2 linked regions of the Cricetulus griseus genome follow. The protein of the gene in region 1 interacts with the protein of each later gene in a biochemical or structural test. Links are inferred from orthologs where the notes say so. Each region holds a gene or a part of one and is shown in the gene's direction. Other genes may lie near its edges. The genes, in order: Cops7a and Cops4.

Region 1 (14,874 bases):
CTCTCTAGCCCCGCCCCCCCAGGACTTTCTTTTTGACACTCTACTATTCTGGTTGTTCCCACCTCTCCCTCCTAGTCTCATTGCTGGTTCCTCTCCCATCAATGGCTTGCTCTATCTTATGTCAACGGTCATTCCCCAGGAGATCATTTAGTTTCTAGGTTCGAAATATATTTGTTCCTGATAACTTTCCAATATTATTTCCATCTCTGTCGTTTGTCTTCATCTTGTCTTTCTGTGTAACTATCTACTTACCCCTTCTTAAACATTTCTTCTTTAAAAAAAAGATTTGAGCTGGGTGGTGATGGTGCATGCTTTTAATCCCAGCACTTGGGAGGCAGAGGTAGGTGGATCTTTATCTAGTCTACAGAGCAAGTTCTAGGACAGCCAGGGATATGGAGAGTTAACCTGTCTAAAAATAAACAAATAAATATAAATTAATTATAGGCATGCAATATCTGGATATGTACACCTGAGTTCAGGTACCCAGGGAGGCTGGAGGAGAGAGACTCCCCCAGACCTAGAATAACAGGGAGTTGTAAGCTGCCTGATATGGGTGCTGGGTCCACTGGAAGAGCAGTTTGTGCTCTTAACTGTTGAACCATCTCTCCAGCCTCAACATTTCATCTTTTAATAAATGGACTCTTAACCAGAGAGTGGTGGCACACATCTTTAATCCCAGCACTCAGGAGGCAGAGGCAGGCGGATCTCTGAGTCTGAGGCCAGCCTGGTCTACAGAGTGAGTTCCAGGACAGCTAGAGCTACACAGAGAAACCCTGTCTCGAAAAAAGCCAAATAAAAATAAAATAAAAGAGAGAGATTACTCGTTGCTCTTGCAAAGGACTCAAGTTCGATTCCCAGGATACACATGGCAGCTCACCATCATCTGTAACACCAGTCCCAGGCATCCCAATTCCGGCCTCCTTGGACACCAGGCACACATGTGGTATGCAGACAAAATACTCATACAGATAAAATAAATAAATATAAATAAAAATATCCCAAGGTGGTCTTGAACTTTTTAAAAAGATATATTTATTGTATTTTATGAGTTTTTCCTGAATGTATGTATAATCATCATGTGTGTGCCTACTCCCTGCAGAAGCTGGAAGAAGTCACCAGATTCCCTGGGATGGGGTTACAGAGAGTGGTGAGCCACTGTTTAGGTTGTGGGAACCAAACCTGCATCTGTCCTCTGCTAGATCAGCAAGTGCTCTTAACTGTTGAGCCAAGTCTCCAGCCCCAACCTTTCCTCCCTCCCTCCCTCCCTCCTCCCTCCCTCCTTCCCTCCCTCCCTCCCCCTTCCCTTCCTCTTCCTTTTTCCTTCCTTCCTTTTCCTTTCTTCTTTTTTTTTTCCAAGACAGGGTTTCTCTGTGTGGCTCTGCCTATCCTAAAACTCAATTTGTAGACCAGGCTGGCCTTGAACTCACAAAGATCTGCCTGCCTCTGCCTCCCGAGTGCCGGGATTAAAGGGGTACACTACCATGGCCCATAACCACTTCTTTTTGACATTGAAATTTCATGATATGGATTTAACCTACCTTTCTATTTATTTAGGCATTGTTTGTTTTATAATTTATTATATTTATATGTATGTATGTATATCCCCACATTTGTGGGTGCCTATAGAAACCCTGTCTGAAAAGACAAAAAAACAAATGAACAATGAATATGTTTATTACAAATTAAGGAAGGCTCTTCTACATTCCTAGAGTTTCTATCATGAAGGAGTGTTTACTCATTTTTTTCCAGTCTATCACTTCTTTTTTAAAAGGTTTATGTGTTTTATTATGTGCATATGTGTGTACCTGCATGACTTTGTGTGCCATGTGCATGCAGGGCGTGCAGAAGTCAAAAGAGGGCATCAGATCCCTTGGAACTGGCAGCTGTGAGCCAGCTGATGTAGGTGCCAGGAACCAAACCCTGATCCTCTACAAGAATGATACGTTTCTTAACTCTAGAGCTGTCTTTCCAGCCCTGAATGAAATGTTTCTGAAAGCCTTTCTTATTTTGAAATGTAATAGACAGAAATATAAAGGTAGCAAAACATAAAAAATAATGAGTACTTAGAGAGGGAATGGTTATAAACTGAGTAACAGCATTCACACTGTATAATCACCGTAATAAAAACAGCTTTGTATGTGGTTCAAAAGACAGTGTCCTGCCCAATTATGTTTTTCATGCCTCACTAGTGTGAGGTAGCATAATGATTTTTTATGAAAACTACTTCCTTGTTCTTTTCTCTCTCTCTCTTCTCTCCTCTCTCTCTCTCTCTCTCTCTCTCTCTCTCTCTCTCTCTCTCTTATTAGACAGGGTCTCTCACTATATAGCTCTGCTTGCCCTGAAACTTGATCTGTAGACCAGGCTAGCCTCAAACTCACAGATATCCACCTGCCAAGTGCTGGGATTAAAGGTGATACTACTAGCAGCTTCCTTTTCTTTTCTTTTTTCTTTTTTTTTTTTTAGACAGCGTCTCACGTAGCCCAAACTGCCTATGTAGCTCAGAAGCAGCCTGAATGCCTGTATCTTTCTGCCTCCACCTCCTGAACACTGGGATGACAGACACAGGCTACATGCTCAGTTTATGCCATGCTGTGTCTCAACCCTAGGGAAGAGTGCAAGATAGGGAAGTACTCCACTGAGCTCTATCCACAGTCCCCTTGTTTTTCTTTGTAGTTTCTATGAATGGGTATGTATTCCTTAACAATATAATTTGTTTCATTTTGGAGATAATGTATGTAGTAATGTCATATGTCTTTTCTATATATGTGGGTGTTAAATTATCACTTTACTAGATAATGCTAAACTTTTTCCAGAGTGATTTAAGTACCCAGGCATGGTACTGCAGTCCTGTATTCCAACACTGAGTCAGGAAACAGATAAATTTGAGGGCAATCTGGGACGGTTATGTTTAAAAACAAAATGTTTAACCACTAGTATTCTCATTATCTGTGTAGGGGTGTTTCTTTGTTCTGAATCCCAGGCAACATTTTGTATTTTCAGGCTTTAATTTTAGCAGCTCTAGTGTGGACAATGCTACTAATTGTGGCTGTAATTTGCATTACAAATGAAATTGAGGAAGTTTTCTTCTGTTTGTTTCTTGAATATTTCTTTTGTTTAGTGTTGGTTCAAACCTCTAGTTCACATTTATAACTTATTGTTAAGGCTTTCGGCTTTGTTTTTCTTTTTCCTGTGTGGTTCTTTCTGCATCCTGGGTGCATCTTTTAAATAAGGATAAGTATATTGAAGCATTATCTTTTCTTTCTGTTTGTGAAGTACCGGAATTTGGACCTGGGGCCTCACCATGACCACGTCTTTTTTGTTGTCCTCGCTCTCGCTCTCTCTCGTGTGTGTGTGTGTGTGTGTGTGTGTGTGTGCTTGTGTGGCTGCCAGAAAATAACCTTGGGTGTCATTCCTCAGGAGCTATCCACCTTGTTTGAGAAGGGGTCTCCCATTGGCCTGAGGCTTGCCAGTTCTGCTAATCTTAACTTGCCAGTGAACTGCAGGGATCCCGTCTCCCTATCTCCAGAACTGGGATTACAAGTGTATGCTGCTGTGCCCAGCGTGGTTCACATGGGTACCAGGAACTGTACCTGTACCACGTCTGTACATGCTTGTGTGGGAAAGCACCTTACTCAGTGGGCTGTCTCCCCAGCCCAATTCGTATTCACTTTGGTGGTCTTTCTTAGACAGGGTCTCGCATAGCCCAGCTGGCCTCAATCACTAGTTAACCAAGATGACTGTCCCACCCCAGTCTCCTGAGCACTGGGATTACAGGCTTGTACCACCAAACGGTGGATGTGCTACCAGGGATTAATCCCAGTGTAAATATCAGGTAAGCACTCTACTAACTGACCCATATCTCCATCTGGTGGCTTGTGTTTTGATGAACAGATGCTGCCAAATGCACCGGTCTTTTCACCTTATGGTTAGAACGAGCATTTAGCAGTCCTCACCTATCTTCCATCCCAGGCTATGATCCAAAAGCAGAGGAAAACTAGAGAATTCCAGGCCAGGCAGGACTGCAGATAGAGACAAGCTCTCTCAAGAAGCAAAAATAAGTACTTCTCTGTCTTGAATTTGTGGGTATATTCTTCTGAATTATCTCCTAAAGCCCTTTATATTTACTCTGTAGTGTGCTGGGAATAGATTTTTGTGTATGATTTGAGGTAAGGATTCAATTTTATCTATCTTCATATATACCCAGATCTCAGAATCAGTGAGATGTTCATTATTTCCTGCTCGAAAGTGCAGTCACACATCAAGTTGTCTGTATGTGTGAATCTGATCAGGGCTACTATGATCCGGTGGTCCATCTGTCTCTATGTATATCAATGGTATGTTTTCGTTGTTGTTGTCTTTTCCTGACAGCGTTTCTCTATGTAGCCCTGGTTATTCTCGAACTCAGAGACCCACCTGCCTCTGCCTCTAGGGTTGAGATTAATGGTGTGCATCACCACCAGCCATTATGCTTTCTTTATGTACTGGAGATTGAACCAGGGCTTCACATATGTTAAGCATATAGCCTACCACAGAACTACACCTATGGTCTTGTACATGTCTTGGTGTCTAATAAAGCTCGTGTTTCTGTCTGCGTCCTTTTTGAGAATATCTTCTTGAGAATCAGTGAGATGGCTCAGGGGTAAAGACACTGGCTGCCAAGCCTGATGACCTGAGTCTAATCCCCAGGACCATGGTGGAACGTGGAAGGAAAGAACCTCTACACAGTCATTTTGGTACATGTGCACACACACATACAGATAAATAAATAATAAATTTATATATATATATATGTATACATTCATATATACATACATACATACTTATATTTCCATGTACCTTCTGACTGAGGGGTTTAAGACTTCATCTCACACTGTGTAGGTTGGCCTTGAACTCAGAACAATCCTCCTACCTTGGCATCTTAAATGTTGGTTATGATAGGCACAAGCCATCATATCTGGCTTCAAGATGTCCTGATACCCTCCATTTTTGAAATTTCGGGATTCATATTTTACTGACAATTTTGGTATTGGGTGAGAGATGCTGACTTTGTTTCAATCTAGTTTTGCCTCTGTCTGATTTTATCAAAATAGTTCTGGTCTCATAGAATAAGCATTCTAAGTTTTCCTGTTTTCTGGAAAATGTTTTATAAAATTTAAATGATCTACACTCTTCTTAGTTATCACCCTAGCTTTTAACAGCTGAGCCACCTCTGTAGCCCATGATGTACAATTTAAAAGTTTTGTACAACTTGCCTTTAGATTATTAGTTTTTTTTTTCTGAGAAATGATCATTTTATGTAGCCCAGGCTTTGAACTTGTGATACTATTTCAGCCTCCCAACTCTTGGAATTATAGGTGTGTGCTATCATTGCTGGCTATAAAGTCATTTTCTTTTTAAGATTTTAGGCACATGCTTTTAATCCCAGCGCTTGGAGGCAGAGACAAGCTAATCTATGATATTTAGGCCAGCCTAGTCTACCAAGTGAGCTGTTACACAGAGAAACCCTGTCTGGAAAACAAAAAAAGGATTTTTAAAAAATCTTATGCCAGGCGTTGGTGGCACACGCCTTTAATCCCAGCACTCGGGAGGCAGAGGCAGGCAGATCTCTGTGAGTTCAAGACCAGCCTGGTCTACAATAGCTAGTTCCAGGATAGGCTCCAAAGCTACAGAGAAACCCTGTCTCGAAAAAACCAAAAAAAAAAAAAAAAAAAAAAAAAAAAAAAAAAGCAAGCAAACTAGGACAGGCTGTTGACGGTGAATCAAGACTAAATCTCAGAGAATTTCTCCTTTCTCTGTCTTCTGTCTTTGTTGCCTTCTTTTCTAAGCCTCTTCTCCCCCTCTCCCCAACACTCTCACACAAGTATGTAACTCACACTGGCCTGGAACTCACTACTCACTACACAGCCTGGACTACCTTTGAACCTAAGATCCTCCTGTCTCAGCCTCCCAAGTGCTAGACGGCAAGCATGTACCACTGCGTCTACCTTTGAGAAGTGATGGAACCAAATAAGCGAACACTCGGATCCCGTGCTCCTTTGTCTCACAGGTTACTTAGGAAGCTCACACTTCTAGGCCTCTGTTTCTCTCTCTCTCTCTCTCTCTCTCAAGATATGAGGTCATTCTATGCGAACTTTCTATTCGTATGCCTCAGCCTCCGGAGTGATGGCATTACAGATATGCACCAGTACATCTGGCTTTACCTTACATTGAAAGTTTTCTGTAAGGATTTTTGGGTTTTGTTGTGTTTTTTGAGACTTGCTCTCACTATGTAGTAGTTCTGGGTACCCTGGAATTCCCTATGCAGATGATGCTGGCCTGCAACTGAGGAGTCCACCTGCCTTGCCTCCCGGGTGGTGGGATTAAAGGTGTGCACCACCACCCCAAGATTTTAAAGTTTTTTTAAAGCAGGGTCTCTCACACTGTAGCTCAGGCTAGCCTCGAATTCAAAGCAATCCCCCTGCTTCCGTCTCCTGAATGCTGGGATTACAAGTGCCCATCTAAACCCTTTTTTGTTTGGTTGTTTTTTGAGACAGGGTTTCTCTGTGTAGCTTTGGAGCCTATCCTGGCACTCTCGATCTTGTAGACCAGGCTGGCCTCGAACTCACAGAGATCCGCCTGCCTCTGCCTCCCGAGTGCTGGCGTTAAAGGCGTGCGCCACCAACGCCCAGCTCCCATCTAAACCCTTTTAATTTTTAAATTTCCTCACCTGCCTCCGTTCCACTAACACTTTCCTCCTGTCAACTGAGATTCCAGTCGTCAAAACATAAGGACTACTGGGTGGTAACCAAGGCCACACAAGTGTGGTCACCAAGTAAAGCTCTGAAAACTTCACGGAAGAAAACGGTAAAAGTCCGACCAATCCATTTCCCCCGCTTTACCATTTGCTTCCTTTTGAGACAGGTTCTCAAATAGCCCAGACTGGCCTGGAAGGTGCTATATGGCTGAGGCTGATTTTGAACTCCTGATTGGATACCCCCCCCACACCCCGCCTCTACCTCGCAAAAGCAAGCATGAGCCACCACTCGGGGCCCCTTTGCCTTTTAAAACTCCTCTTCTTAGCCGGGCGTGGCCTTTAATCCCAGCACTCTGGAGGCAGAGGCAGGAGGATCTCTGAGTTCGAGGCCAGCCTGGTCTCCAGAGCGAGTGTCAGGACAGGCTCCAAAGCTACACAGAGAAACCCTGTCTCGAAAAACCAAAAAACCAAAAAACCAAACTCCTCTTCTTAAAAACACGCGTGGCTCAACTACCCGAGCCGCGTCTACCACTAACTCGGGCACGCGTCCCTGCGACGCTAAGTCGCCCAGAAACTCCGCGCTGCCCTGGGCTCCGCCCTGCAGCTCCCGGGGGGTGGGGTGGGGAGTGGGGGGCGTCCCGGCGGCCCCGGCGTCTCCCCGCGCTCGCAGCACCGCGCACCCACCGCTCTTCCCCCGAGAACCCTCTCTCCGCAGAGCGGAAGCCCGCTCGTCCCGAGCCGCCGTCGGAAAGCGGAAGCGGGCCCCAGCCGCCCGGAAGCCGCCTCCCGAGAGCGGAAGGACGGCCGGAAGCTGCCCATAGAAGCGCGCGGCTAGAGCGGCCCTGCGGGAGGTGGCAGGAAAGGCTGGGAGCAGCCGCCGGAGGTGACGGAGCGGCCGCTCGCCCGCCCGCCCGCTCGCCCGCCCCGCCCCGCCCCGTGCGCTGGAGGACGAGGCTTCCAGGTAGCGGCCGCGGCCGGTTCCAGGGTACGAGCCCGGCCCCTCCGGTGCGGAGCCGCCGGTCCTGGGCGGCCTCTTTAAGGGAGGGGTGGAGCCGCGAGCGCGGGGGGTGAGGTCACGTGGCCGCGGGCACGTGCAGCACACGCGTCCCGAGCCGGGCGGGGGTGCGTCGTCGTTAGGGTGGCACCATGTGCCACCGCGTCCCTCACCGCCGCCGCCGCCGCCTCTGCCGCCTCTGCCGCCTCTGCCTGCGGGCCCAGCGGGGTGCACGCGGGGCGGCTTGCCTTTAGGCCCCGGACCCCCGCGCAGGGTGGGCGTGGCAGCCGGGCCGCGGCCCACTCCAAGGAAGCTAGAGCTGGATTTTTTTTTTTTTTTTTTAAGACCTCTTGACCCGATTTCTCACTGCAGAGGTGGCTGGCTTACTGATTGCCTCTGGAGTGCGGTTCCCTGCCCTCGAGCTGACCCGTCCCCGCCAGTGCCCCGGGCCCCTGAGCTTCACGATCGATCCTCTCTTCCTTGCAGCTCCAGACAACTTGAGACCAGAGCGAGCCCCCGCACCTCAGTGCAGCCATGAGCGCCGAGGTGAAGGTGACAGGGCAGAACCAGGAGCAGTTTCTGCTCCTTGCCAAGTCGGCCAAGGGGGCAGCGCTGGCCACACTCATCCATCAGGTGCTGGAGGCCCCTGGTGTCTACGTGTTTGGGGAACTGCTGGATATGCCCAATGTTAGAGAGGTGGGTTGCTTGCCCGGGTAGTCCAACCGAGAACCTTGGGGCCCAAGTTTCTTCCAAGAATGCCTGGGCTCGTTTTGTAACCAGTAAGCCACTCAGGTCAACAGGGTGTTGGTAACTAACCACCAGTTAAATAAAGGTCTTTCATTTCTCTTTGGAGATCAAGGGGGTCTGTAAATCTAACGTCCCCTCCCTCTACACACATCTTTTTGAGACAGGGTTTCTCTGTGAAGACCCGGCTGCCCTAGACTAGTAGTAGTAGTCATCGTCTGGCTTGGCCTTGCACTTGTGGCAATCCTCCTGCCTATTAGGCCTTCTGCCGGATTTTAATTTTTTTCTTATTTAAAAATGTGGAACGATTCACGAATTTACGTGTCATTTTTTGCTCAGGGGCCATGCTGATCTCTGTATCGTTCCATTTTTTGTGTATGTGCTGCCAAAGCAAGCAAGGATTTTGTTGTTTTTCCAGACAAGGTTTTTCTCTGTAACAACTGTAGCTGTCCTGGAACTTGCTTTGTAGACCAGGCTGGCCTTGAACTCACAGAGATTCAAGTGCCTCTGCCTCCTGAGTGCCGAAACCAAAGGCATGTACCACCACCCAGCTGGATTTTTTAATTTATAAGCAAAAGTACATGCCATTCAGAATACTGCTTGTAAGTTCAGCCTGTCCACCAGTGTGATACCTCTTAATAATCATGTCACCAGCTCAGTAGTGGAGGGGTATCTTTAATCTCAGCACTCAAGAGTCAGAGGGAGGTGGAGTTCTGAGTTAGAGGCCAGCCTGGTCTACAGAATGAGTTTCAGGCCCGCCAATGCTGTTACATAGAGAAGCCCTGTCTCAAAAAAAAAAAAAAACAAAAACAACAACAACAACAAAAAAAAACCAAGGCCTGGCAGTGGTGGCACACACTTGCAGAGGCAGGCGGACCTCTGTGATTTCCAGGTCAGCCTGGTCTACAGAGCAAGTTCCAGGACAGGTTCCAAAGCTACAGAGAAACCCTGTCTCAAAACAAAACAAAAAGAAAAAAAAAATGTCACCTTGATCAGAGAAACCTTATTAAAAGGCTCACTTTTCTCCTAAAAATGGTGATGAGAAACTGGAACATGACTCAGTTGATAAGAGTGCTTGCCTAGCATTCGTGGGGCCTCGGGGTCCTTTTCAGAACTTGGGATGCTAAGGCGGGGGATCACAAATATTGGGCCAGCCTATGCAACTTAGAGTCCATCTCAAAAAGGAGTAGGGATGTAGCTCAGTGAAAGAGCCCTTGTCTATAGCATGCAAGGCTCTCTATAGCTTGATTCTCAGAACTGCAAAAAGGAAAAAAGTACTGCCTCTCAACAATTACAGAAGTAAAATTATGGGAAAGTCTAAAGCCTCCTAAAAATGTAAAGATGAGCATATTATCATGCTATGTTACCTCCCCAAGTGTCGAATATACAAATTCGTTTATGGTAGATAATGAAGACAATGTCTTCTTCCCAAAGACAATGGTAAACTGCTATGAACACAGCAAAGAGCATCAATAACAAATGGCCAGTCAAGAGCTTGAAGTATAGAGCAAATGGATGGCCAACACTGTGTCACTGGCCTCTGTCCTGAGAGGCTAACAGTAGTGTGGCTAAACTGAGCCGAGTTTTAAGAGGCCTCTGGTTGAATTAGAGGATATAATGTGTTTTGGGTTGCCGTTTATAGAAAACTGGCGCTATCTTTTGTTCCTGATTTTATCTACAGTGAACTAAAGTATAGTTTTAAGATAAGTAGAAGAAACATTTTCTAATTGCCTTACAGTGTTTAGTATTCTGCAAAATATAAGGCTACAGGTTTGCCCTTCAAGCTTGTATTCAGTTAAAGAGATCAGATAAATGGATGAAACTGTGGAAGACAGTTATTTAGCAAGAGTTTAGTTTGAGGGCTGCAATTCTGCTGCATCCTTGTAGGCTAATGGATGCTGGGTCTCTGGCCTTATTAAAAACTATTGTTAGTTAGGTGAGATGCTGCATGTCTGATATGCCAGGATGAGTGAGCGGTGATTCGAGATACTGGTGGATGATGTAAGACCACCTCACTGAGGACAGTCAGAAGCAGAGGCCACAAATTCTGTGCCCTCTGAGAGCCAAACTAACTTACAATATCTGATGTGTGTGTATGATACACCAAACACCCCTGATTTAGAGTAGGAATTTGATGCATAGCATAACAAAAGAGCTCGAGGTAGGAGTGAGCCCTCAGCAACAGTGTATGCTCGGAAATGTATAGAAGGCCTTTTGGTGAACCAGGATAGGTACTCTTGGGAGGATGGGTCAGAAAGTTGAGTTCAAATAGCTCCTTCTTGTCACTTCCCTGATGTTCTTGCAGTTGGCAGAAAGCGACTTTGCCTCCACCTTCCGGCTGCTCACAGTGTTTGCCTATGGGACCTATGCTGACTACTTAGGTAAATGGGGGCTGGAGCTGTGGAGCTATGGAGACAGGGGAAGGGTGGTTTCTGGAGAGACTTGGAAGAAATTTCTGGGGTGCCCCACTTAGATGGCGTAAGTGAACCTCTGGGCAATCTAAGACCGTAATTGGTGCAGAAAACTTGTAAGAAACTGCTAAAAATAAGATGCCTGGGCTTCTGTCCCCTTCCCTAGCTGAAGCCAGGAATCTTCCCCCACTTACCGAGGCTCAGAAGAATAAGCTTCGGCATCTCTCAGTTGTCACTCTGGCTGCCAAAGTCAAGGTAAGTGACAGTCCTGCCGCCTACCAGTCCAAAGCCAGAGACTGCCTATTGTTTGTCACTGGGAGTCTCCACCAGGACAGCTGTTGACCTCACTCTGTCTAGGTCTGAACTGAAACTCCATTACTGCAGTCATGGAGGCTGTAGTTTCTCAGTTTGAACCTAAGTTCTAAGTTACCATCTTTTGTGTTTGGTGTCAAAATAGATACTGGGATCCTGATAATCCTCGTTCATTCACCATACAGAGTCCCAGGACAACAAAGCCTCAGAGCTAGAAATGGGGTTCTTCCCCTGGAACTGCCAGGCTTGTGTGCTACAATAAGACATAATGTGTACCTCAGAAGTGTCTGTGTCCCTGTGGGCCCAGCTTTTTGTTACACTACACCACGTGTTCCTAGTCTTCACTCTCCCAGGCATTAGCTAGAATTGAGTCCTGGTGACTTTTGTTGGGATCAGACTCACAATTGAGGAGGCCTCAAAGGTGAGGCCAGTTTGTAACTTGGCTAAGTCCAAGTGTTAAACAGAGTAACTCCAGACCCCTCCTATGTATAGTCCTCTGATGTCAAGCTGATGTAATACAATATCCTTAGCTACTGCCAAAGAAATGGCCCAGGAAGATGTCGCACTCTTTCACTGTGCTGGGGCAAGTGGGGCATAGTAGGGTAGCATCTCTGTGTGTTAAGAGTGTCTTTTTGAGTCTGGGGTCATGTCTTATGTAATCCAACACTTGGGAGGCTGAGACAGAAGGATTAGTGTAAGATCAAGTCTAGCCTGGACTACATAGTGAGGTTCAAGCCAGCCTGGGCTATAGAATAAGAGCCTGGGTCAGAGTACATTAAAGAAAAGGAAAAAGAAGGAAGGATTGTCCTTTTCTGATGATGTTTTGAGGTGGTGATACGTTTGCTTTAGAACTAACATTTCCTGGGAAATGGTTTAGAGATAGGAATGGAGGACCTGTGGGACTCAGCAGTGGGGAAAAGAGGGAGGAGGATATGGAAAGTCCTCTGCTTTTGAGCCCCACAAACCCTGGTCTGACCCTGGACCCAGTGTATCCCATATGCAGTGTTGCTGGAGGCCCTTGCCCTTCGTAACGTGCGCCAGCTGGAAGACCTTGTGATCGAGGCCGTGTATGCAGATATCCTGCGGGGCTCCCTGGACCAGCGCAATCAGCGGCTGGAGGTTGACTACAGCATCGGGAGAGACATCCAGCGCCAGGACCTCAGTGCCATTGCCCGAACCCTGCAGGAGTGGTGAGAACTTGTCAGGCCTTAACCATCCCCTTATGTGAGCAGGAGAGAGCAGGGATTGGGCTGCAGAGGGTTAGTCCAATTGGAGAGAAAGAAACCAGTACTTTGCTCTGGAAGCTTCTGAGGGAACAAGCTTGAAGGAGATGCTGGGTGCTAAGAGGCAGGATTGTTGGAGCAGTAATTGGGGTTCTTGGGGGTTCTTCATGGGAGGTTTGTCACTGTCATAGGCACATAACACATGGGCCATGGGTCTCTCTTCCAATTTCTTCTTTGTATCCCTATAACTTCATTGTGACCTCACTTTGTATCCCAGGCTGGCTTTGAACTCAAAATCCTTCTGCCTCTGCCTCCCAGTATTGAGATTACAGGCATGCACAGTTACACACCACCGTGCCTGGCACTCGTGTTTGTGTGTGTGGTAGAGGGGTGCAGGTGAAGGCAGGTACTCACAGAGGCTAGAGGCGTCAGATCCCACTGGAGCTGGTGGTTGTGAGCTGCCTGGTGTGGGTGCTGGGAACCAAACTCAGGCTCTCTGGAAGAGCAATGCATCTTCTTTACCACTGAGCCATTTCCCCAACAGCGCCCAGCCCCACCCACGCTGTGTGTGTCACTCAGCTACTCCCTTATCCCTTCCTTCTCCTACTCCAGGGGGTTTGCTGATGAAAATACTGTTGTAGCTGGTTCCCGGGTGCCTGGTGAGGGCTCCCAGCCTTGGCAGGGGTTTCGAGTCCAGCTTGGAGGCTTGCTTTTGAGGTTTTGTTTTGTTTTTAGGAGTTTATGATCACAGGCCTCTTCTGCTAACACTTCATCTGCTCTGATTCCCACAGGTGTGTAGGCTGTGAGGTCGTGCTGTCCGGCATCGAGGAGCAAGTCAGCCGTGCCAACCAGCACAAGGAGCAACAGCTGGGCCTGAAGCAACAGATCGAGAGTGAGGTAAGCAGGTAGGGAACAGGTCAGCTACAGCTACTGCCCTGGGCTCCTGGCCTGTGCACGTGCTGGATGTGGCTGAGGCAAACTGATAAGATAATCAGGATCTGTCAGGTTCTGGACCTACTTTGCTATCTGCCATTCCTTTCATCCTGATAGGTTGCCAACCTTAAAAAAACCATTAAAGTTACAACAGCGGCAGCTGCTGCAGCCACTTCTCAGGATCCAGAACAACACCTGACCGAGCTGAGAGAACCAGCTCCTGGCACCAACCAGCGCCAGCCCAGCAAGAAAGCCTCAAAGGGCAAGGGGTGAGCCCGTGCGGGGAGCCGCTTGCTTCTGGGTACCCCACATTTACCTCAGGGGCCTCAGCCTGGCTGCTCCACTTGCTTTAGTCATGTGCATGGGGTCGGGAATGGGGGTGTCCTCCAGGAATTAGGGGACCCCTTGCATCCCCTCTCTCTCTCTTCCCCTTGCCAGACTCCGAGGGAGCGCCAAGATTTGGTCCAAGTCGAACTGAAAGGACTTGTTTCTTCCCTGGGAATGTGGGGTCCCAGCTGCCTACCTGCCTACCCCTTAGGAGTCCTCAGAGCCTTCTGTGCCCCTGGCCAGCTGATAATCCTAGCTCATGACTTTTCATCTCCTCCACCCCCAAGCATAAGCCACATCCCCTATAGGGAGAAGGCCAGTCCAGGTCACGTCTTGTTGGTACTTGTTATGTGTTCCATTGCCTCTCTTCCCTGACACGCTTGCTCTCATCTTCACTCGGCACTGTGTCTGCCCATTACCCACGTCATCAACCAGGTTGGCAGTCCTATGGAGGGTGCTTTCTCTTCGCCACCCACAGGTGTTCTCTACCACGCCCACCCCTGCATGCCTAACCTGCAGTTCCTCCTTCCCTGTGCCTATTGGGCTGCACCTGAAAAGCTATTGGGAAGGGTGTCCTCCACCTTCATCCCAGCCTTAGAGTTCTGGAGCCAGTCTGCCATTCTGGGAGTCGCTGAACACTTTTCATCCCAGAATCCCATCACACTACAGTTGTTTCTTGTCCTGTCTCATCTCCTTGGGCCTGGGAATACTGTTGCTTCAGTGACCCCAGAGCCCCAGAACAGCTATTTTTGAGATGTTAAGAAATGGTTCTTTGTTAGCTAATCATCTTAGGAAACCCAATGGAAATCCTGGAATGATTTGTATTTCTTCTTGTGATTTTGGTGGGGAAGGGAATATAGATTGTATATTAAAAAAAAAAAAGGTATATATGAATAGGTCTATATATAACATGACACAGAAATAAATCTAAGAGAAATCTGTGTACAAAAATGCCAGGAACTGGGCCTCTTCTGTCTTTGATGTTTGTTAACAGGGAGAAGATCAATCCCAGTCCACTCTAAAGCCGAGTGCTGGGAAGTGAAAAGAACCAGATACTGTTTGCAGACTCTTGACTAGCAGCCAGGAGGCCTAGACCCTGGACAGATTGCTCCATACCTCAGCCCATGTTCAGAAGTAATGGGCACCTCCTGACCACCACCATGTCTTAACAGTGGAGATGCAGACTGACCATCACTG
Region 2 (14,874 bases), on another chromosome or scaffold:
ATTTTTCCTGCAGTGTAGTAAAACTACAGTTAAAAGCAGCAACATCATGTATTGCAACAAAATGGCAGCGGCATCCCCATTATGACAAGAGCACCTTTATCAAGAACTTAATTAAGCCTGGCCTGGTGATACACTTTAATGCGAGAACTCTTGGGAGGCAGAGGCAGGCAGATCTCTGTGAGTCTAAAGCCAGCCTAGACAACCAAGGGTACATAGTGAGACCCTGTCTCAAACAGCAACAAAAAGTACTTGATAAATATGTAGAGATGTAGGGCCTGGTGGAATGGCTCAACGGGGATGGCAGGGGATGCTTACTACCAAACCTGACAACCTAAGCTCTACCCCTAGAGTCCACAAGTTGTCGTCAGACATATACACATGTTTTGTGGCATACATGTGCCACCCCCACAAATGAATTAATGTAAACTTTAAATGTAAAGATAAAACAGCTATTATTTAATATTTTCCATAGTGACTAAGCTAAACATAGAAAATAAATTTAAATATTGTAGATACTATCCCTCCTCTGTCTAAATATTGGCCATTCAGCTTTTTATTAGACCACTCATGTGCCTTAGGCAGACACAGTAACACATCTTTACATAGTTAAACAAATATTCTGCAACACAAACAAATGTAACATATCTTTAAATGTAACAACTTACAATTTCTTTTTAGAGTTATTCATTTTTATTTTATGTATATGGGTGTTTATATGTATATATATTTGTGTACCATAGAGTGACTGTGGAGATCAGAAGAAAGCATCAGATTATCTGGGACTGGAGTTACTGGCATTTGTAGCTGCCATATGGGTGCTTGGACCCAAACCTTGGTCCTCTTAACATCAAGTGCTATGAACCACTCAACCAAATCCCCAGCCCCATTTATTTATTTGATGTGTGTATGTGTGAGAACATGCACATGCCATGGTTCTCAGTTTCCACCATGTGTGTTCCCGGAATTGAACTCAGGTCGTCAGGCTTAGCAACAAGCTCCCTTACCTACTGATGCATCTCACTGCCCCCTCAACTGTTTTTCTTAATCATATTTCTCTAGTAGTATTAGTATCTACTCTGAGGCTGTTGGAAGTCTAGTGTGAGGCAAATATAATGAGTGATTATGGGATATCCTGAATCTGGGTTTCCTAATGTGCTTGATACCTGGGACTCTGGGTGTGAAAATTAGAAGATACATATGTAGCCCAGACAAGCTTATGATTGGGAGTATCTGTATGAACTCATGCATTATTTCACCTTTAAAATACATATTTTCTAGTTCTGTCCTATGAAAAGGACAAAATACTGATACAATAGTAAGAGCATTCCTAGCACTCCAGTTGTATCAGTTATAATCCCCCTAAAGGAAAGGCAGCCTCTTGGGAACCGACTGTATCGAGTCTAATTACAAAGCACACAATGATTCTAAAACCAATGGTCTCATAGCACCACCCCAAACAAGAGGGATAGTGCAAAAGACAACAGGACACACACAGAAAAATACACACACAGCAGCACAAACACCACACACACACAGCACACACACACACAGCACACACACAAATACACACACACACACACACACACACAGCACACACACAAATACACACACACACACACACACACACACACACACACACACAAATACACACACACACACACACACAGCACACACACAGCACACACACACACAGCACACACACAAATACACACAGACACACACACACACACAAATACACACACACACACACACAAATACACACACACACACACACACACACACACACACACACATTCTTTTCTCCTATAAAGAGTCATGTTCTGGCTGGGCGTTGGTGGCACACACCTTTAATCCCAGCACTCGGGAGGCAGAGGCAGGTGGATCTCTGTGAGTTCGAGACCAGCCTGGTCTACAACAGCTAGTTCCAGAACAGCCTCCAAAAGCCACAGAGAAACCCTGTCTTGAAAAAACAAACAACAACAACAACAACAAAAAAAAAACAACAAGAGTCATGTTCTGGTACACCACGAAGGGGAGTCCAGGATGACTCGTTTGCATATCTGTAGGGAAGTAGTGAGAGGCTAGAGCCTGTCTAGTTGTCAAAATGGTAGATTCCTGCCAGAGAAACTGCACTTTGGAATTCATATACAAGTGGTGTCAAGATATGCTGGATGCTTCTCAACTTCTCAACTCTTTTTTTTTAAAAAAAATACTTAATTTTAATTATGTGTACATATGTGTGACTGTGTGTGTGTGACAGTGGTGGTGCCCCCAGAGGCCAGAAGAGGGCATCCATTTCTCTAGAACTGTGGTTTCAGGCAGATGTCAGCTGCCTGATGTAGGTGCCTGGAAATGAACCCAGGGTCATCTGTGTTCTTCACCACTGAGCCATCTCTCTCTCCACCCTCCACTTTCTTTTTGTGAAACACTGTCTCGCTGTCTCGCTGTGTTGTAGGGTCTGGCTGGCCTGGAATTTGCTATGTAGACCAGGCTGGCCTGGTATTCACAGAGCTCTGTCTGTTTCTGCTTCCCAAGTGCCAGTAGTAAAGGCATGGGCTCACACGTCATCCAGCTTCTCAACTTTAACTGCTCTGGAATTACGGGGTGGGGAGCATGTTATTAATGTGATGATGTTAATAGGTCTGAACTAAGAAACAAATTATTACATTGTTGTTTTTTAGATTTATTTTATGATTATGAGTGTTTTGTATGCATGTGTCTGTGTGTACCATATGCTTGCCTGGTGCCCACAGAGACCAGAAGAAAATGTCAGGTCCCTCAAAACTGGAGCTACAGACAGTTGTGCGACCCCTGGATCTGCTTTCAAAAAATTCCTAGGGATAGCATCACCAAGGCATACAGTGACTGGATGGGTCTGAAAAGTACAGTGGGACTGACCATTCTACCGGGCCCAGATTGAAGTCATACCTTCTGCTTCAGCCATCCTCATCAGACTCCTCCAGGAACAACCAATGGATAGAAATAAACAGAAAACATTCAACATGGTGGGGCTGTCACATTATTTAAGATTGTCAACATTATTTAACAGATGTGACACCTATCGTTAGCCAGAGAACTCTTGGAAGCCAGCAGATTTTGGAGATTCCCAAATCTATGGGTTGTAATGTTGAGGTTTGCCACCCTCAATTGTTCAAGACCCAGTGAACTTCAACATCCACTTAATTATAGTAATTCTTAATTTCATCCAACACCATGTACACCCACTACACCACACACACTAGACCCCCAAAGACCAAGGAGGCAGGTTTAAGGTACAACAGTGTCAAGGTTAGTGCCACGCCTTCCTGATTCTACCTTCAGAGATTGCAATTACCTGTAGTTAGTTACAGTCTGAAAATGTTACATGGAAAATTCCAGAAACAAACAATCCCTAAGTTTTAAACTGAGCACTGTTTTGAGTATTATGATAAATTCCCCAGACATTCTTCTCAGTGCTGCTTAGGAAATGAATCATTGCTTTGCTCAGTGAATCAGCAATGTGTATGCTGCCCTTCTGCCAGTCACTTAGTAGCTGTCCTGGTTATCAGCTGTCCTGGTTATCAGCTCTTATCGCTGTCCCTGCACGAAAGTAATCTTTATTTTACTTAATAATGCCCCCAGAGTGCAAAGGGCAATGGTACTGGCAAATCTGACATGCCAAAGAGGGCTTGGTTAGGTGAAAAGGTGAGAGTTCTCAGTAAGGAACAAACATTAATCATGTGGAAATTTCTAAGCTCCATAGGAAATTAGAAACTTTGCAAGTGAGACTGTTATGACTATTACATTAGCATGTGAACGTGCACTTATCCATGCATGCACACATGGAGGCCAGCAGTCTTCCTACATCCATCTCCATCTTACTTTCACAATACTGGAAGCTTGCTCTTTCAGCTAGACTGACTAGCCAGCAAGCCCTCAGGACCTATCTGTCACAGACTAACTTTTATTATATGGGTGCTAGGAATCCAAACCTCCTTGTACATTAAACTCTTTACACACTGAGTCATCTGCCCAATTCTTCAACCTGTATTTTTAAAATTACTTTTGAAAGATTTATTATTTTTATTTCGTGTTTGTGTGTTTGTTTGTTCGAATTTATGTGTACTACTTCTGTGTGGGAGCTCCAGGAGGCCAGAAAATGGTATTAGATCCCCTGGAACTGGAGTTACAGGCAGTTGTGAGTCACCATATGAATGCTGGGAATTGAACCCAGGTTCTCTGCAAAAGAAGCAAGTGCTGTTAACCACTGAGCCATCTCTCCAGCCCCTCGAGAGGCTTTTTGTTTTGTTTAACATCCTGGATTTTGAGCTGATGTAAACATGTCACATAAAATCACAGAATGCCGTTGCTTTGGACCAAGTTTCCACTCCTGCCCCTAGACATTAGACTATAATTCAAAAACGGAATGACTCACAGTAACATATAACATCAAGCTATTTATTCCACCTTAGAGATATCAAGATTAAAGAGATTTTTCAAACAAAGTTTTTCAATTAGCACATTGATGAAGCTCCTTCAATGTTTTATACTTTCACAAACAAAACAAAACAAAAAACCCCAAAACCTCAAAAACAAACAAAAAATTAAATTAACCTAAAGTAACTTGGAACTTTTCAAGTTACATTTTTCATATTGTCTTACAAAGAAATTAAGTTTGAAAGAGCCAAACCACTTTTCCTTTTACTTTTGAGACAGGATCTTAGTCTGTGGCACAGACTTAAATAGAATTCACTATGTTAGTCTGGGATAGCCTTAAACTTGCACGAGTCCCCTTGTCTCAACTGTCTGAGTGCTGGGTTTACAGGCATGAGCCACTATGCCAGGCTCACTTTTCTGTTTCTTTCCTTTTTCAGTTTATATATCTATGTCCCCGTACTTGGAACATTTACTCTATTTTGAAAAAATGACTGATTGTAAAATAAAAAGTATATCCAACTGAAGATCTTTAAATTGTTGTAGATTTATTTTTTGGCAACATTGAGTGGGATGATGAACTCTCTTCCTCAGGGAAGGAAGTTATTCTACTGCAAAAGGATACTTAGATAGACAGTTTATAGAAGAGACTTCCAATTCCCTCCATCTCTCATCCCCTGGGTCCATCTCTCTCATCTTCCTTTCTTCATTTTTTTCTCTCCATCACTCTTGGACGGAGAATTTAACCTAGGGCCTTATATATAGTAGGCAAGTGCTCTACCACTGAGCTATAAGGTATAAGTGTAGCCTTCTTTTTAGCTTCCTATTTTCATACAGGTTCCCGCCAAAGTTCTCCAGGCAGGCCTTAAGAGGCCTGTGGCAACAGACCTGACCCACACTTTGGATTCATAAGCGCCCCCCAAACCTTATTGGAAAGCAAGTTTCCAGTCTCAGTGATGCTAGATATTCTTGCCAAAAGAACATGATTGAATTGGTGTGGATACCTGCTATTTTGTTTCCCTTGTTCTATATACTTACCAATAGATAGAATATGCCATTTATAAAATACCAAGAAGGTAAAATGCTTTGAGTTTGGTATTTGTTGTAGGTAAGTAAGTCCGTAAGAAATTGCAATCCTGTCTCAGTGAGTTCAAGGCCACCCTGGTCTACAGAGGGAATTCCAGGACAGCCAGGGGAACACAGAAACCCTGTCTCTGTGGCTCCCATGCCACTACTAAGTCAAATGGAACCTCCACTTGTGGCGCCTGCTCCATGACTAAGTCCAAGTATCAGTCAAAAGCCTGGAGATTTCGTTAAAAGCAGAGCCATCTGGCCACTTGTGCTATGTGTGTCTGTCTTAGTGAAAGGAGAGAGCAGCCTTATGTACACTTACAGCACGGTGGAAAAAACCCAGGTGTAGGACCTTGTGTTTTTTATGCTGTGGGGTACGGCCAGGATTGTAATTCAGGACTGTAAAACAGGATGCACCTGTGATTATTGACTGGCAAGCAACTCACAGAGACACCGTGGGGGCTGTGGCCCAACATCTCCCCAATATCTTTCCCAACAGTCTCAAAAATGTCAAAAGAAAAATAAAGGAAAGAAGGAAGGAAGGGAGGAAGGAAGGAAGGGAGAAAAGAAGGAAGGAAGGAAGGAAGGAAGAAAATACTAAAATTCTCCTGTAAAGTACAATTTGGCAATATCTGGCAAAAATTGTGTGTACCTTGATTTACTTTTGGGAGTGTATTTTACTTGCATATATCTTAAACCATGCACATATAAGGTTATTCATTGCACCATTGGTTACTCTCTTAAAGCTACTTATATATCCTATAAAGACTAAATGTAATGTACCATCATTACCTTTAAGAATAATGCTAACAAAGGACTGGACTTACATTGCTGGATTGTCCGAAAAGTGAAAACACCAAAGATAGAACAACAAGATGTGTCATTTATTGTGAAAAGAAGAGAATGCAAAGTCTTGCACCTATTTGATTGTAATTTTGCAAAGTTTTGAAATAATACATAAATAATGAATGTAATCTCATCTAAAAGTAAGATGACCATATAACTTGTCATTCAAATAACGGTTTGTAAAGTGAAGGCAGTATCATTAATAGTTACTTCAGGACAATAGTTGAAAAATAACATTGTTCTGATGAATACTTTTAAAAGATATAGGATGTAACAGAGAAAGGGAATACACATATATAGTCAGTCCACAGGGATGTGTGTGTACATTAAATCTATTTCCTAGACTCTTGTCTCTCATAGGTTCTCTCATGGTCCAAGCTGGCCACCAACTTGCTAAATTCAGGAACATAGCCTTGAACTTCGAATCCTCCTGCCTCCTACCTTTGGAGTGTTGGTATTGCAGTCTAGCCTTTTTTTGCGGGGGGGGGGGTGCGCTGAAAGCAGTCCACTGATATTATTATAAAGTATGCAATTAAGTTTCTCACATGTGGGGAAGCGCAGACATCAGCACCTCTAAATGGTGGTGCCTTATCCTGAGAGAATTATTTTCTTGTCCGTGGTGTATTCCCTCCTAGCTAAATTGTGTGTGTGTGTGTGTGTGTGTGTGTGTGTGTTTGTTTGTTTTTGCTTTGTTTTCAATGTTGGACTATCTTGAATTGGAAATAAAAACTATAGACAGCTCATTCTTTACCATAGGTGATTTAGAGATGCCTTAAAAAAGAAGGGCAGAACGACGACCCTCAGACCCGGAACTTAGTGAAAACGCTGTAGTTTTAACGCGCCGGGCCCTTACTGAGGTTGCACAAGGTACACTCCTTCAAGGGTTTAAGCCAATCTCAGTTCGGAGCGTGAGAGCCAGCGTCTCTCGAGAGGCCTGGGCGGGTCTCAAACGGGAGGAGAGGAGTTTGGTGTCGCTCAACCCCGAGGGCGGGGCTAATTCCGGCTCCCACACTCGGCGCTCTAGCCCGTAAAGACGCGATCTATGGCACCTCGGGTTCCCTCTGCCTGCGCTCTGGAGGACCACACTCGTTTTCTTTTCGGCTGCGAGCGGTCCCGCAGCCGTGGCTGAGCTGGAAGAAAGATGGCGGCTGCCGTGAGACAGGATTTGGCCCAGCTCATGAATTTGAGTGGCTCTCATAAAGATCTGGCGGGCAAGTGAGTATTTCCTAGGAGTCCAGAGGTGGGATGGGAGGCACAAATTTACCTTCCTAGAGGTGCCGGGGGCTCTCGGGTGTGGGGCCGGGGTGGTAGGCCCGAGGGCTCAGGGGGGCGGGCCTGGTTCAGGCTGTGGCGGTAAATGCTGGGAGCCGCAGAAGACTGTCAGGGACCGTGTGCTGGGGTCCAGACCGCCCCGAGACCCGTGCTGACTGCAGCGTCTTAAGTCCTTGGTAACGTCCTCCACGGGTTCCTTTGGCTTCTGCAAGCGTGGCACGAAAGATGACGGCTCCATCGGCGGTGGCCGCCTTCGTTAGTGGCTCTGGAGAGCCCAACATACCGAGTTTGACTTCTGTTTGCTGCCGCCACCGCCCTCACCTTGGTGGAGATAAATTTATAGTCTGGGCTTTGATGCAGAGTTTTATTTGTTTGTTTGTTTGTTTTTTTTAAGAGAAGGCTTTCCAGGGTGACAGGGGCCGAGGAGTATGGCCGTTGTCATGTCGCCCAGAACTTCTCAAGTTTAAATAGCGTGTGTAGGTCCTTATGTTCTGGATACTCTCCCTCAGTCTCTGTCACCAGCTCTGCAGAAAAGAACACAGGCAGAATGTCCTCGATCTAGGATTTCTAGAACACTGATGTTTCCATAGGCTGTTTAGGAATTTTGTAGAAACCTTAGAATGCTTAGGTCCACTCCAAGTCATAATTTGTTATATATGTATGTATGTATGTATGTATGTATGTATGTATATATATATTTTTTTCTTATTATTATTTTATGAAGGTATCAGATCCCCTGGAACTGGAGTTACAGACAGTTGTGAGCTGCGAATTGAACCGAGGTCCTCTGGATGAACAGCCAGTGCTCTTTAACTACTGAGCCATCTCTCCAGCTCCCCCTGTTGAACAGTTTTAGTCGTTTTCTTTTTGTAGATTTCATAGGTTTGCTCTCTGCTGAAAGTCTTTGTTTTTCGAGACAGGTTTTCCTGTGTAGCACTGGCTTTCCTGGAACTCACTCTGTAGACCAGTCTGGCCTCAAACTCAAGAGATCCGCCTGCCTCTGCCTCTGGACTCCTGGGATTAAGGGCATGCACCCCCCACACCTAGCTCTTTATGCTGAAAGTAGGCCTCCAATTGATTTTACATGCTGGCAGCTGAGAGCACGTTGATCTAACTGTTGAACACTCTTGCTCAAGCCTGCACATTGATGTTGTGTAGATGTTGTATGGCAGCTGTGCTGCTTTTTTGCTGGTAAATTTAGTTATACCCCAGCCTTAACTACTTTATGCTTCCTTTTTCTGCTTAAAAAAAAAGTGGTAGTGTGATTGTGAGACTTAGTCTTACCTGATTTCAAGATGAGTGTGTGTCTGTGTACTTATCACACTAAATATCTGAGTTCTGTCCCTGGTATATAGAAAACGCCATAGAATTGTTACTATTAAGCAGTCGGTAAATATATACTGACTTATTCCAGGATTTGGAAGTAGTTGACTATGTCTTCATTGTTTAGTCTTTTTTGCATGTATTAATACTTTTTATTGGTTTGGATGAAAGTAAAACTAGCTTATGTATTTCAGAAAATGTAAGGCCATTAGTTGTCAGATAAGCTGTAGCTCTTTGAACTGGGAAGCATTCTGGAACTTTGGCTTACTCCTTAACTTCTTTAGCTTTGAATTGGAGATGAGCAGTAGTATGTCTCCAGTGGGTTGTTTCTTTGTCTGTTGCTGCTTAATAAACGTACAGTTTAGTGGTGTAAGCATACTTTTCTCCCCAGGATTCTTTGTGTCACCTGGGCTGTCTTCCTGGTCTTGCCTGGTTCAATTAAACAGATTAATTTGGCTAGCAGTTCAGTTAGGGCTGGGCTCATGTCAGTATCTGGCTGTTGGCTGGGTCTTTTATTCTAGTTTCATAGTGTAGCTTTGGCTTTCTTCTGGGCTTCTCCATTAGAGTGTTCTACCTGAGTGAGAATGAAAGCTGAAAGGCTTAAGGCTAGCCTGAGAAGTCTTCCATTGACTCTGTAATACTGGTGAAAGCAAGTGATTCAGGGGGAAAGGAAATGGAATGTACCACTAACTTTTTAGTAGCAAAGTGATATTGCAAAGGAGTCATTGGAAACTATTCTTGTGGCAGTTTACCATGTGAGTTTATTATTCAGAGCAAATGAAATGATTGGATTGATAAATGGTAGCCCATGTAGTACTAGCTAGCTCCTCCCTCAGTATCACTTTCTTTTCTTTCTTTTTCTTTTTTTTTTTTTTTTTGGTTTTTCGAGACAGTTTCTCTATGTAGCTTTGGAGCCTATCCTGGCACTTGTTCTGGAGACCAGGCTGGCCTCGAACTCACAGAGATCTGCCTGCCTCTACCTCTCGAGTGCTGGGATTAGAGGTGTATACCACCAACACCTGCTTTCTTTCTTGTCTTAGGATTTAGTTGATTATTTTTAATTTTTATGTATGTGTGAGTGTGAGTACCATCTGTGTGCAGGTGCCCATGGGTGCCAAAAGAGGGAGTCACCGGGAGCCCTCTGACCTGGGTGCTGGGAATTGGATTCAGGTCCCTGGAAGAGCAGCACCCTTGACCACTGAGCCATCTCTCCAGCCCTCCCTCAGTGCTGCTTTCTGGCCTTGTCTCTGGATGTTTGCCCAGTACTATCTGGGTAAGAATGTTAGGATGTTTACCCCTGTAACAAAACAGTTCTGCCAGCCACATAACTTTATGAAGCACCTATGCCATGTGTTTATTTAAGGTTTTTATATTGGGAACTGCGAAACAAAAGATATCTAATACTGAAGCCCTCTGTGTTCCCATACAGTGTATTGTTCAAGAAATGTTGGTTAATGAGTAAATGGCTAGAAGGGGACGTAACATAACTTCTATTTGAACCCATGTTTGTCTTAAAAGCTCACTTTTAACTAACCAGACTATATTGCTTTTCTTGCTAAAAACTCAATTAGAAGTGCTTTCTGATAATTGAATTAACAGTTATCAAATTTTGGTATAAGAAATTGGCCACATAAAAAAGCATTTTTGTTTTTATATACATTGGCTGCTTTTTCTTTTCATATAACATATATATTTATTACCTATTACAAAGCTTTGGAGAGGAGACTGGAGCATTGCTCAGCTGTTAAGAACACTTACTGTTCTTGCAGAGGACCTGAATTCAGTTCCCAGCATTCACAGGGTGGCTCACAACTGTTTATAACTCCAGTTCCAGGGTACACTTTTCTGACTTCTAAGGGCACCAGATACACATGTGGTGCACAGACATACATGCAGGCCACACACACACACATAAAAGTAAATTAATCTCTTTTCAAGAAAAGCTTAGAAGCTGGGGCCTTGGATTCCAGCTCTTGGGGGTTGGAGCAGGCTGATCTCTGTGAGTTCCAGGTCAGGGCTATATAAAGAAGAGAAAGAGGGACTGGAGAGGGAACATGTGAAGGTAATTGTTGTGATAGCCTGTCTTAACACAATTGGCTAACCTACTTGGTCCTCAACATTTGATTAAGTGGCTTCCCGGAAGCTTGCTCACATTCTCACACCTATCCCCACGTTAGGCCTAGTTAATTGGTCTGCCTGTGACCAGCTATAGCTTACTTTTATTTGGATAGATTAGATTGATTGTTCATTTGTCCACTTCCCTGACCAGAAAGTATACTTTTTATTTTTTCAAAGTAAACAGCTTTATTTAGGAAAAGTGAGAAAGAACTTCTGAGAATGGGAGGGACTGCAAGGGGAGGAATACTTACACACACAAAAAGAAACTTTGAAGGCACCTAGTAGTCAAGCCAGTTTATAGTCCATGTTTATGAACTCCTCACTCTAAAATATAGTCACCTAGTCACTTAGTAGACATTTGCATATTCTGAGCTGCAGGCCAGGTATACCCCATCTATCTACACTGAGATGCAGGCCAGGTGCACTGCTTTGCTTTTTCGAGTTGCATGGCTAATACGTGACAACAGGGTTCCAAAGTTAATAACACATTCAAAGCCTCTTAAGGTCCAGGCTCAGAACTGGCATTTCATTTCTGCTACATTCTATTGGTCAAAAAGTTTAGAATGGGATAGGGAAATAAACCTTTTGTTTTTGATGTGAAGAGCTACAAAGTCAAATTGAAAAAGAGTGTAGATACAGGGAGTGAAAGAATTGTGACCACTTTTTGAAGATAGTCAAAGTTAATCGGCTGAGCTTCACTGGGAAGCCCAATGGGTTAGATGGTTTAAACAGTTCTGGAAGTGTTTATTGGAAAATCTATTTACCTGTTTGCCTCTCTCTCTTTTTTAATGGCATCTCACTCTGTAGCTCAGACTGGCTTTGTACTTACTGATCTTCCTGCCTCAGCCTTCCAAGTATTGTGATTATAGGCATGAACAACCATCTCTGGTCCAAGTTAAACCTCTTCATTACCTCTTTTCTGTCTTATTTCTCCTCTAGACTCTAGTGAAACCTCTGTTCAGAACAACATACTGGGACTTCTATATCTTCTCTCGTGTATTTTTTCATTTCTATGCTTCATTCTAGATAGGTTTTTTTTAATCTGCTTTCTGTTTTAGCAGTTCTTGGGTTGCCTCTTCTAGTGTTGAGTATTTAAGCTGGTTATAATCTTTTTCAGTTCTGTAATTTCTGATGGTTTGTTTTCCAATGACATGACACCAGTTCCTACTTTCTTGTTGAACTTCAAAGCTTGCCTTACCTCCCTGGGTGTAATTATATTACAGTTTTTCTCACTTCAGAATAATTCCTAGTTGTTGCAATTGATTGTTGTTTTTATTGATGCTAGCTAATACTATCATGTGCCTTACTAATCTTTGTTTTTTGGTAAATAATTTTCAGAGATGTTTTTAGAAACAATTTGGAGCCAGGCTCCTGTGTGTCAGAGAATGTTCATTTCCTTCTGTCAGCACCTGCTAACAATCTAAGACGAAAAGACTTCAGATTTTTTTTCCTAGATAATCCTTGGTATTGAATTTGTAACCTTATTTCAAGTTGCTTGTGTTTATTTCCTGGTTTGTCAGGCAAAGAACTTGAATCACATCCTTCTAGCTCTGTTAGTCTCCCAGAAACAGCAACTGGCTTCTCATTCTTTCCAGCAGATTTACAGAGAGCTCCAAAGTAGAGCCCTCCCTTTTCTCTGTAGAAGTGTCTTCACCACCTCACTTCTCCCTCCACTGCCTTCAGGACTAGAAAATACTTCTTGTTCTTTTCCCTGCTTCCCATGTCTTTCTCCCCCCCCCCCCAGACAGGGTTTCCCTGTGGCTTTGGAGGCTGTTCTGGAACTAGCTCTTGTAGACCAGACTGGTCTCTAACTCACAGAGATCCTCCTGCCTCTGCCTCCCGAGTGCTGGGATTAAAGGCGTGCGCCACCACCGCCTGGCTTTCCCATGTCTTTTTCATTTACTTATTTATACTGTGTGCGTGCATGTGTGCAGGTGCACATGAGGCCACACCTCCTAAGAGTGCCACTCCCTTTGGGGGCCATTTCCTTTCAAACCACCACAGGGGGGTTAGGAGCCTTTCTGGTTGTGTTTTTATGTATTTAAAAAGGTTTCTTATTTTTATTTTATGTGTATTAGTGTTGGTTTACATCTGTGTGTACATGTATGCATGACTTGTGCCCTCGGAGGCCCAAGTTCATTTCCCAGTACCTGTCTACGTGGTGGCTAACAACCATCTGAAATTCCAGTTCCAAATCAGATGATCTCTTGTGGCTTCCGTGGGTACTGCATACTCATTGTTCACAGACATCTGTATAGGCAAAACATCTACACACAAAGTAAAAGTAAATAAATCTCCTTTTTTGTTGTGGTTGGTTGGTTGGATTTTTGAAACAGGGTTTCACTGTGTAGCCCTGGCTGTCCTGGAACTAACTCTGTAGACCAAGCTGGCCTCAAAGTCATGTAGATCCACCTGGCTTTGCCTCCCAAGTGCTGGGACTAAAGGTGTAGGCCATCACACATGGCATCAAAAAACTTTTAACTTTAGGTTAGGCATCAAATTTGCCTAAGTACTTACCTTTAAATATTAGTTATATAAAATACTCTCTAGAAGTATATAAATATAAGACTTAGCTATAACCCTGATTTAATAAAATATAATCGAATTTGAAAATAAATCAGTCAAAAATAAAGCATAACCTATCTGAAAATGTGTCCAGATCAGTAAATATGTAAATATAGGTTTAAGACCAATTTTAATTTGTATGTATATGAATTTGTGTGTGTGTGTGCATACTATAAGTGAGGTATATACATGAATTTGTGTGTGTGTGTGTGTGGGGAATACTATAAGTAAGGTATGTACATGAATGTGTGTGTATGTGTGTGTGTGTGTGTGTGTGTGTGTGCATACTTGTTTTTTTTTAATTTTGTTTTTTCAAGACAGGGATCTATGTAGCTAGCCCTGGCTGTCCTGGAACTCACTCTGTAGACTAGGCTGGCCTCGAACTCACAGAGATCTGCCTGCCTCTACCTCCCTGATTATTGGGATTAAAGGTGTGTGCCACTACCACCTGACTGTGTGTGTGGTTACTATAAGTGAGGTATATACATGAATGTATGTGTGCATACTATGAGATATGTACATGAATGTGTGTGTGTGTGCATACTGTAAGTGAGATATGTACATGAATGTGTGTGTGTGTGCACACTGTAAGAGTGAGAAGGCTAGAATGAGATACTTTGTAGGAAGTAGTTTTCTAACACAGTCCTGTCCCTTAAGGAGTCAGACCTAGTAATATGTAAAGTAACACTCTTGTCTCTAAAGGTTTACTGTTTCCTTTCCTTCTCACATCTGCCAGCACACCTGCTTCCATTGTGATTTTGCTACATTCCATAACCAGGAGTGGGATAAGTGGGCCCTACAAAATATGTCGCCAGTCTGAATGAGTTGGGGTTTTATTTGTGCAAGTTTTTCTTCCAGGCTTCATTCTGAACCACTTTCTGAATAACTGAAACGTTGTTAGGTTTGCAATCAAATTTAACTAGCTGGGTATGATGGCTCATGCCTATAGTTTAAACACTGGGGAGAAACTGAGACAGGAGGATTAATCTGAGGTTAGTCAGAATGATGCTGAGTTCCTGGCCAGCTTGGACTACAAAGGGAGATTCTAGCTCAGAAAACAAAAATAAATAAAATGTCTTTAACTAATGCTTTTTAAAAATAAGGTGCTGGACAGTGGTGGTGCACACTTTTATCCCCAGCACTCAGGAGGCAGGGGCAGGTGGATCTCTGTGAGTTCCAGACCAGCCTGGTTACAGAGTGAGTTGTAGGACAGGCTCCAAAAGCTATACAGAGAAACCCTGTATCAAAAAAAAAAAAAAAAAAAAA

What was found.
Region 2: the proteins of Cops7a (region 1) and Cops4 form a complex in vitro, tested with the Homo sapiens proteins (2 studies listed by BioGRID). The link is inferred for Cricetulus griseus from reciprocal best matches to the Homo sapiens genes COPS7A and COPS4.

The regions. Positions count from the first base shown.
Region 1 is NC_048601.1:21,444,379-21,459,252, forward strand, and holds the start of Cops7a (COP9 signalosome complex subunit 7a), read left to right. Parts: upstream 1-7,551; 5' UTR 7,552-7,694; exon of another isoform or gene 7,695-7,718; intron 7,719-7,921; exon of another isoform or gene 7,922-8,213; 5' UTR 8,214-8,261; coding exon 8,262-8,423; intron 8,424-8,764; exon of another isoform or gene 8,765-8,865; intron 8,866-10,776; coding exon 10,777-10,852; intron 10,853-11,048; coding exon 11,049-11,137; intron 11,138-12,181; coding exon 12,182-12,384; intron 12,385-13,208; coding exon 13,209-13,314; intron 13,315-13,467; coding exon 13,468-13,619; intron 13,620-13,788; coding exon 13,789-13,828; 3' UTR 13,829-14,671; coding exon of another isoform or gene 14,672-14,699; 3' UTR 14,700-14,874.
Region 2 is NW_023276807.1:162,543,653-162,558,526, forward strand, and holds the start of Cops4 (COP9 signalosome complex subunit 4), read left to right. Parts: upstream 1-7,323; 5' UTR 7,324-7,471; coding exon 7,472-7,545; intron 7,546-14,874. UniProt on the Homo sapiens protein: Component of the COP9 signalosome complex (CSN), a complex involved in various cellular and developmental processes.